Linked DNA regions of Drosophila melanogaster. The protein of the gene in region 1 interacts with the protein of each later gene in a biochemical or structural test. Each region holds a gene or a part of one and is shown on either strand. Other genes may lie near its edges.

Region 1 (3,992 bases):
TAAGCGAAAGATTTTGTGCAAAGGTAAATATAAATATTTAAAGATTTTTTAAAATTCAGCATGAACAAAACCAGAAAATAGCAACTAATTCTGACTGACATTTCCATGGACATTCCGCCGTGCGGTGGAAGTGCATTTGGTGAATCGTTTTTGCCACAGTTTGAAGCATCAAAATTATGAACGAAATAAAATTTAATTTGTTATTAGCATTTTTATACGTAAACCGAACTGAAAGAAGTTTTAATTCCGGTTGGATGGGTACTTATCATTCGTTTTTTGTTGGGTACAAACAAATAACCAATTAACATATTCGATTAGATTAACCTATTTCAATTATTTACAAAAGATTCCCATTGAAAATAATCTGCTATTGAACTGCCCAGTTTACTACTTCTTTACAAAAATATAATTTAATTTGAAAGACCACAAAATAAACCAGAATTGTATAGCTTGTTGTTCTCCTTATTGTTAAAAAGTTTTCTTGGAACAATACTCCATTTCAACAACGCTTCATAAGAATGGAAAGGTACATAAATAGACACATATGTATGTATATTAAAAACCATTAAATTCAACAATGTATGAGAATAGCGAAGAAAAACTTTTAGCTTTTTATCCCGAAAATGGTTCTATTTCAACTAGATTCAAATACTTGAATAAAATATTCTTTACAATTTTAGGAAAATATATTGTGCTTTTCAAAAAAATTGTTTTCGAACATCAGACAATATCGCCGTTCGCCCTAACGAGTGTCCACTGTGCGCATCTCTCACGCGACGAACGGCAACAGGTCGACACGTTTCGCTGAAATGGAAATAGCACCTGGGGCGCAGAGCCCCGCCCTTCAAGCAGATAAAGACGTACGTATTGCTTGACCTGGAATTAGATTATAGAATCCCAAATTCCAGCGAGAGCGGCGCATTTCATTAGCATGGTTGAGGTTAGGGCGAAGCCAACGTGAGAAACTGGGGCAAGTCGAACTGCAACGTGCAGAAAATCGTGTTCCACTGCGCATGACCTCCAAAATGTCCAATGACGGTAACGGTATTGGTGCGGGGCATGTGTACATCACTGTCAAAGGTCAATAACTCCGCGATTGCCCCAAAAAGCAGCAACAACACAAACTAACTGAAGTCTGTGACTCAGACGGTGGTGGCGCCCTCTCGTTCCCACTCACGCCGCCATATGGCGGCGTCTACCTACGCATAACTGCAGATTTGGAAAGAAGTACAGACATGCGGATTCACAGTTGTTTTGTATAGGTGTTCCGTTTAATTTCAGTACTGGTGTTCCCATTTTCGGTCTTCGTTGCTTTTTGATATCTTAGCGAAAATGCATACTAATTTGTAGGTGTTGCTATCAAATTATTATTTTAATTACAATAGGTGGCGCAATTGAATTGTTTAGCTCGCTGTGATTAAACAATAAACATACAATGTCGAATTTATAAGCGCTCCGGTAAAAAGAAATTAGATATAAAATCGCACTGATCGAAGACAGGCATTTTTGTCAGCGTTTTTAAACATAAATTTAAGACTTTCAAAATTGTAACTAAGCATCTGATAAATATGTATATGTGTGTAGAAGGTATGCATGAGTATAGGTTCCGTTTTGTTTGGGGGATTGGGATCCATCTAGCATTTCTCCTCCTCCAGACCGTGCTTGAAGAACATGAGCACGGGCACGCTGTCGCCGTTGATTTCGCGGTATTCCACCAGGGCCACCATGCCGTCGCAGTCCATAGATTCGCCGGTGAAGAACTGCAGCTCCTTGAAGCGGCCAAGGATGTCCTTCATGGCCTTGTTCATGTTGGTCTTGAAGATGTCGACCTGGTCGGGCGACTTCTCCTCCAGCTTGGCCAGCACCTTCTTCATGTAGTCCTTCAGGTAGAGGGTGTACGACTTCTTGTCGCCGAAGGCGAAGCACTCCGTCAGTCGGTGGTTAAGCACAACATCCACGCCAGACTCCGAGGTGATATCAGTGCCCTCGTCGGCCTCCTCGGCGGATGCGTTGGCGCCCTCCAGCTTGATATCGTCACCCTGGCGGGTGATCAGCTTTCCGTACACCTCGTAGATCACATCATCCACCAGCTTCATCTTGTAGGTGTCGGCAAACATCTCGTCGCCGGTGATGATATCCTTGTAGATCTTCATGGTGATTGGCTTGTCGGGAGTCGGAAGATGGCGTCTAAATCGCTGGCGAAAATGCAACTACAACTGCACCGGACCGGGAACACTGCGAAACGACCTGCCACGCGCTCACTCGAACAGCAAAAAGAATGAGCGAGAAAAAATGGCGAAAGAACTGCCAACTCGCTTGGGAGTGGTAACGATTGATCCGGGAGTGGCAGCGCCTACTATACACGTATCGATAATTTCAATGTTTTCTTCGATTTATTGTTAGTTAAGAGCAGGGAATATTAACAAGGCGAACAAAATTATTATAGCTATAATATTGATGTTTCTTACGTATATTTATGGCCATTCTAACTTTTAATAATTTGAGACTGTTTCAGTAAAAAAGATAAATATGTGTAATATTCTCAATTGGAATAATATAAAAGTGGGAACAGAATTAATCATATAAAGTAATAACAATGTTTTACAGTTGATATAAAATCAATACTTTCGAGACTTATTTGTTTTTTACCAACGTAGTGGCATCCCTGTTTGCGGTAATATCGCGCAGTCAGTGTACGGTCCCATCAATACAAGTTCGAGTGAAAAACAGGGAAATGTACGTAATTTCTGTGATGGCACTGCAAAAACCCTGATTTGTGACTGCTTTTTGCAGGTATGCACTCTCCAGTTCTTTGATCCGCTCTCCGGCGCTGCGCCAGGGCCTCCAGATGGCCGCTGCCAGCCGCCCGGTATCGATGAAGGTGGTTTCCGTGGCCGAAACCCAGAAGGACGAGTCGTTCTTCGAGAAGAACGAGCGCTTGGGCAGGGAGCTGTCGCCCCATCTGACCATCTACCAACCGCAGCTGACCTCCATGCTCTCGATCTGTCACCGCGGCACAGGATTGGCCCTGGGTGTGGGTGTTTGGGGTCTGGGATTGGGCGCTCTGATCTCGTCCCACGACATTAGCCACTATGTGACCATGGTGGAGGGCCTCCAGCTGAGTGGCGCCACTCTGACCGCCCTCAAGTTTATCATCGCCTATCCGGCTGGCTATCACACCGCCAATGGTATTAGGCATCTCCTCTGGGACACCGGACGGTTCCTGAAGATCAAGGAGGTTTACTCCACCGGTTACGCAATGGTCGCCACCTCTTTCGTGCTATCCGCTATCTTGGCCCTGCTCTAAGTCCAAGACCCCAGCTAAACCTATTACATTTTAGTGCGAACACTGTGTGAAAATTGTTATATACTAAATACATGTAGTGTGTATATTTATAAAGGTGTTTGTTGTGTTACGCAATCCATTTTGTTGCTTTGGGCGTGCTGCATACGTTTGTTGTGCGCTGCAATTTGCACGGTGTGCGTGTTTTTAACGATTTCGGTGATTTGTAGAGTGAATTCAGTGTGGAGGCCGGTTAAATAGACATCTTGCGGTCCATTGACAGCGAAATCAAGTATACGCCCCGAACAAGCGATTTCCGATAGCAGAATATTACTTACATGCGCCCAAAAGTAGGGAATACTTTTTATAGGCTTAAATTTACATGAAAAATTAAAACCAAATGCAAAAGGGCTCCGAAAATGTATTTATTTAAGAGTAGCTCTTTGGCTTCCCTAACTATAGAAAAGTCTTCTAAAGATCCTTTTACTTCGGAACTGAAGAATCTTTTTATTAGATGGGGGATTCAGTTCATGTACAGAATCTATATAAAATATGTATATCCTTAATTTTGATTTTTAAGAGGTCATTGTTATATGGATAGAAAATGCAGTTCAGTTAACTTTCTTCCATACGTTGTAATTTATTTATTGTGAATTTTGGATTATCATTTGTAAAAGCTGCAAACTGTAGTGCAACGGTTGTGTATGAG
Region 2 (5,033 bases), 4.0 Mb from region 1:
GTTTATCTAAAACGGCTTGCCAAAATCGGCGAATCACGAACGGTGACTAATGCCAACCGATTCATGAAAATGGCAAGATCAATGCTGGATCGATGAGAATTATAAATGGCGACCGAGCAGCTGCCACCTTTTTCTGCAAAGTGCGCAAAAAAGAGAAGAAACCGCATGGACAAAGGCGAAAATTCTGGAATGCTAAAAACGCAAACACACGCGCCCTCACAAGCACACACACACATGCATATACTTAAATATATGTAAACCACGCTGCTGAAGCCAGGTCATTTTGGAGGGTGATTCGTATGTGCGAGCGAGGGAGACAACCACTGTGTCCGGGACGGCTTTGCGTGTGTTGGTTTTACCCGCTCACAAACACACGTGCCCGCACTTTGAATGCCGGTTGGCAACGTGTTTTTTTTTAGCTAAGTATATTTAATAAAAGGCCGCATAATGTATAAATTTATGAATGTTAGTTCTATTTATAAACAATGTTTATATGCCTTGACTGTATGTAAGGGAATCCAACATGTTTCTATAGCAGTATAGCATTAAAATTAAATGATCAGACATGCACGCATTTTTGTGTGGTTGTGTGGGGGGGGGGGAAGCCTCACATTTTTCCCAAGCTGGAATATTCCAGCAAAAGAGCAATGGCACTCAAAATAAATTACCAATTACGATGAGTAACTTGGACATTGATTTATTGGAAACAGAAACAATAAAAATCACAAGCAATGTCAAGACCCCGCAACGGATGACGCAAGTTTTCTCTCACACATACTCACTCAACCGAAAGTAGACTGTGACTGCAGTGAGTGGGAAGCGGCACGTTTTCCAGTGGAATATTCCAGATAATCACAATCAAGCATTAGGCATCAATATGCAATTAGTCAGAACTTCCAAAGTTTCTAGAATCTTAATTTGCCTAATTAATAGGCGCTCTATGATGCACCTTTGCAATTATGTATGTAAGTGTGCATCGAAGCGTTACTCACTGGGGTCGAAAGTTCGAGAAACCTTGCCTTCTTTGAGAGTATTGATTAAATAGTAAAGGGGCTACAAAAAACACGTGGTTTGATTTCAAATTATTTTCCGGCAAACTTAATCGAGGTGGTCGCACTTTTTTTAACAACGAAATAAATACTAAAATGTAAATAAACGCTTACCTTGTGTGTTGTTTCTTAGAAAGTACTAAAATATAACCGTTTAATTGCTACTTCACTTTTAATCTGCCGCACCTTCGATCAAACTGGCTGGCGTTTTTTTCTGAATTACACCCGTACAAAATTTGCGAATGCCTTTTATATACAAGCAAAAGTGTTACCAAAGCCATCAACAATTTTAGTACTAAATTCCCAGGGGTGTAACCGCAAAATTCTTGGCCACCCTAATAAGCGCTTCACACAGAAGTCCAGAAATGTTGACGCAGAACGTTCACACCGAAACTGTAAAGTCGTAGAAATTGGCTAATATGTAGTAGAAGCGCTGAACGTAGCTTGTTACTTTAAAAACCACATTTCCTATTCCTTTCTTAATGAATATAATTCATAATATAGGAATAATTAATGAAGGAACAGTGGAATATGGAACATGGGATTTTTTTATTTATAAATCTTTCGTTATATAAGGTTATTCTAGTTCTCCATCGGCACTTATTTGACGCACACGGCTGCCCAGCCATTTAACAACAGTGCTGTTCTTATTGATCGTGGTATTTTTTGGCGCTCTGGCAGAGGTCACTCTAAGTACATTTTGAGAGATCATTTTATGTTTAGTTTAATAATTAATACAACATTACAACAGGTTATGCCGGGCAGCCAGGATGAGTGCACTTCTAAACGAAATCCAGCGGATACTCGGGGACCTTCAGTCGGGGAAGGCAGCCAGCCGAAACAAGGGCATCCAACAGCTGGATGAAAAGCTCTCAAGTTGCCGAGAGGATCTGGATAAGTTGTTTCTTAGCAAAACTTCGGATATATCCTGGACCACAATCTTTGAAGCGTCGAAGGAGGCTCTCTTTAAGGTTCCTAGCCATTATCGTTAAACAATCAGTTCCATTTTAATTGTTAACCTAATGATAGCAAGCTGGAAATCTGGAGGATGTCAACGAGAAAGTATTCAAAACGCTGGCGGGAAAAAACTACTTGTACGATAATGTCCTCGAGAAGATCACACAATTCAACTTGGAAGGTAACTCCTAAACACTTAAACACGTTATTAAAGCTAACCTGTGATTTCCAGCGGGGTCGCAGACCTCCGGAAATGGGCATTTCCTGGCCAAAACAAGCATATTTAGTGCATTCGAGGATGGCATCAAGATGCGAGTGGTAGTCAAGTATTTTGGCGACCGCATTCTGAGCCTGCTGGAAAAGGGCATTTACTCATCGGTCAGCTATGTGCGCGACCTTAAAATTAACGAATACAGTAGTAAGTTACTTTCTGGCCCAAAAGAGACTCTTTTTTTTAATTTGATGATGTATTACAGGGATTCTCTCCTATCTTTTTGAACTGAATGTCGATATGGACGAGGTCTTGCGAACCAGAATACTGAAATGCATCACAAGAACCGTCAGTTTGGCCAAGGACCGGGTTCAGCTGCACGTGGATCTAGTGGAATATCTGCCGGAGCTCAGCAGCTTTGCGCTCTCCGCTTTTGGAGCCAGAAAAACTGAGATTGTTCGCGTCTACTTAATATTTGCATCAGAGGTAGGACTCTTATTATATCTTTAGATAATGTTAAAAACTTTGCAACAATCTTTCAGCTTGCTGTCAACTACAATCACCAATTGAACGTGCACATGCAGGAGATTCTACCTAAACTATGCGAGTATCATGACGAGGATGCGTTCCGGGACGACACCAGAAATCTGTTCTTTCAGTGCGTTTCAAAGTCGCTCCATTCAATGTATCTCAAAATGGATATGTGTGACTTTAATACACTCGGTGTGCCTGTTCATGAAAAGTGGCCGCAAACTTTACTGCGGCTGAAAACTATTGTCAATGTGGAGATCCGAAAGAATTCCTGGGCTCGCTGCAAGAACGCACTACTGAGCAATAATAAATTTTCTGACCCCTTCATCAAGATGTCTGCCCTGGCTATGTATATAGTACGTCGCATAAGCTAGTAATATTTAATATATTTAATTTTAATTATATTATTATTTGCAGGTGCTTTGGCACTTGGAGACGAAAAAGGCTGATGAAAATGGGGAAGGCGATGCGCCGAAAAAGATCCCGAAGCCTGCAGATAAAATGGAAACTATATTTAGTCTGATCGACAAAAAGGAAAACACCTTTAACGACGTCTGGCTTGCGATATTCACTGAGATACTTCAGCTGAGTAGCGTGATCCTAAATGTGGCCAACTACCAAATGGCGCTAACCACCGTGGCGGAAATAATGCAAATGTACGGCAATGCGAAAAATCTCCGGAACCTTCGGTTATGCCTGGCTCATCTTTTGACTAAAGAACAGGAGCTTTTGCACTCTAAATCTATTCGGGAGGATTTTCTGGGTGAGCTTTGGAGTCAAATGGCAAACCAGCTCATATCAGAGACAACAACAAACAGTGAGGAGATCAAGGAGAAGCAATTGGTGCTGCAGATGCTGATCAGACACAATAAACTAAATCAAAAGTTGTCCAGCACGCTGCTTAACAATATTATCTCGAATGAAATGCTAAAGCGCAACGAATGCTTAGCGACGATTCGAGAGATCTTCATCCATGCTGATAAATGTGGTCAAGATAAGGCGTCCGCTGACTTAGAACCCATCATAGCTTGGGCATACGGAAGTGCGGATAGATTCATCGCCGCTCAGATGATACACAATATAGACAGTATTGATGCCCAGTTGCAGGCGGATACTTTTGCAATCAGCATTATAAATTTTTTGGATGTCCAGCAATTGCGACAGATCTCTCAATCAGAACACATTGTTCCTTCCACCGAACGCAATCTTTTGGCCTACAAGTACAACGAACAGCTTATTTGCTTTGACAAGGACTACGCCACTCCTTTTGAGTCAATCACTCACATTCAGAGCGAAACAAAGAATTGTTTGATTCAATCCAATTATGATTGCCTAATGCGAGGCCTTAACTTTGAGATCGCGAAGGAGAACAAACCGGCGGCAATAATAAAAAACCTGAATAGTCTATTAAAGTTGATCTGCACAATGGAAAGGCTTTTGCATTACAAGGTTTTCGATGCAGATACCTATACTGGCTGTCCACTTATAAAAAGAATTGGACTATATCTCAGCCACATTGAGGTGGGTGCCAAATGAATAATCTTTCAAAAACTCGTTTTCTAATACCCATTTCAGTTCCAGCTCAAGGCGAACGGAGCTGAGATTTTAGATAAGAGCGATTTACCAGAGATTTTACGTCTGGAAATCTATGTACTTGATGTATTCAGGACGAATTTAGTCTTACTCGATTATTTGGAAAGGCAACCCATTGAAATGTTGGTGGAATTTGTTGGCGCTGCTCTCAAGTTGCATTGTAATGTAGTTTTCAATTAACGTATCGCTTTAATAATTGAAGAGTGGAATATTTTAGCCATGCAGAGGGAGCGATCTGTAGATGCAGATCATGGAACAATAACGCGTCTGTGCCTTAATATTTTGGCTGGTCTTTGTGCGTACAATTCGCACCGGGATGAAGCATTCGAGCACATAGTAAAGGTAACGATGCGTTGGCATCCACAGGATGTGCTTATTGTGACCAAGGTAGGAGTTATATCGTAACCAAAACAGAAATAATTTTGAAATCTCTTTAAGATGTTATGCAGCTGCCAAACGATTTCTGAAGCATCCAGCTCTTGGTTAGTGAGCAAATTGAAGACGCTTTTCCAGCAGCATCATCAGGATGCGGAATTGATGGACAAAGTGGTTCAACATATGCCCAGTGAGCTTATATATAATAGAACAATAAACACAGTGCAATCAATTCATTTCATTGCAGCCATTTTTTACTTCGTAAGGCACAAAGAAAATCATTTGGACGACATGCTTATGGCCCTTAATTCCCTTTT

The links.
Region 2: the proteins of Tctp (region 1) and tefu interact in a test that uses a peptide from one of them, tested with the Drosophila melanogaster proteins (one study listed by BioGRID).

Annotation. Positions count from the first base shown.
Region 1 is NT_033777.3:11,208,542-11,212,533, reverse strand, and holds Tctp (translationally controlled tumor protein), read right to left. Parts: upstream 2,288-3,992; 5' UTR 2,154-2,287; coding exon 1,635-2,153; 3' UTR 636-1,634; downstream 1-635. Other genes in the region: SdhC (succinate dehydrogenase, subunit C), read left to right, coding at 2,735-2,736, 2,794-3,307. UniProt on the Drosophila melanogaster protein: Involved in calcium binding and microtubule stabilization.
Region 2 is NT_033777.3:15,238,930-15,243,962, reverse strand, and holds the start of tefu (telomere fusion), read left to right. Parts: upstream 1-1,726; 5' UTR 1,727-1,742; intron 1,743-1,800; 5' UTR 1,801-1,819; coding exon 1,820-2,020; intron 2,021-2,078; coding exon 2,079-2,187; intron 2,188-2,238; coding exon 2,239-2,424; intron 2,425-2,482; coding exon 2,483-2,703; intron 2,704-2,759; coding exon 2,760-3,104; intron 3,105-3,165; coding exon 3,166-4,269; intron 4,270-4,323; coding exon 4,324-4,501; intron 4,502-4,558; coding exon 4,559-4,728; intron 4,729-4,779; coding exon 4,780-4,906; intron 4,907-4,963; coding exon 4,964-5,033. UniProt on the Drosophila melanogaster protein: Serine/threonine-protein kinase which recognizes the substrate consensus sequence [ST]-Q. Required to suppress spontaneous apoptosis of proliferating cells during development, and for their proper differentiation. Required for female fertility.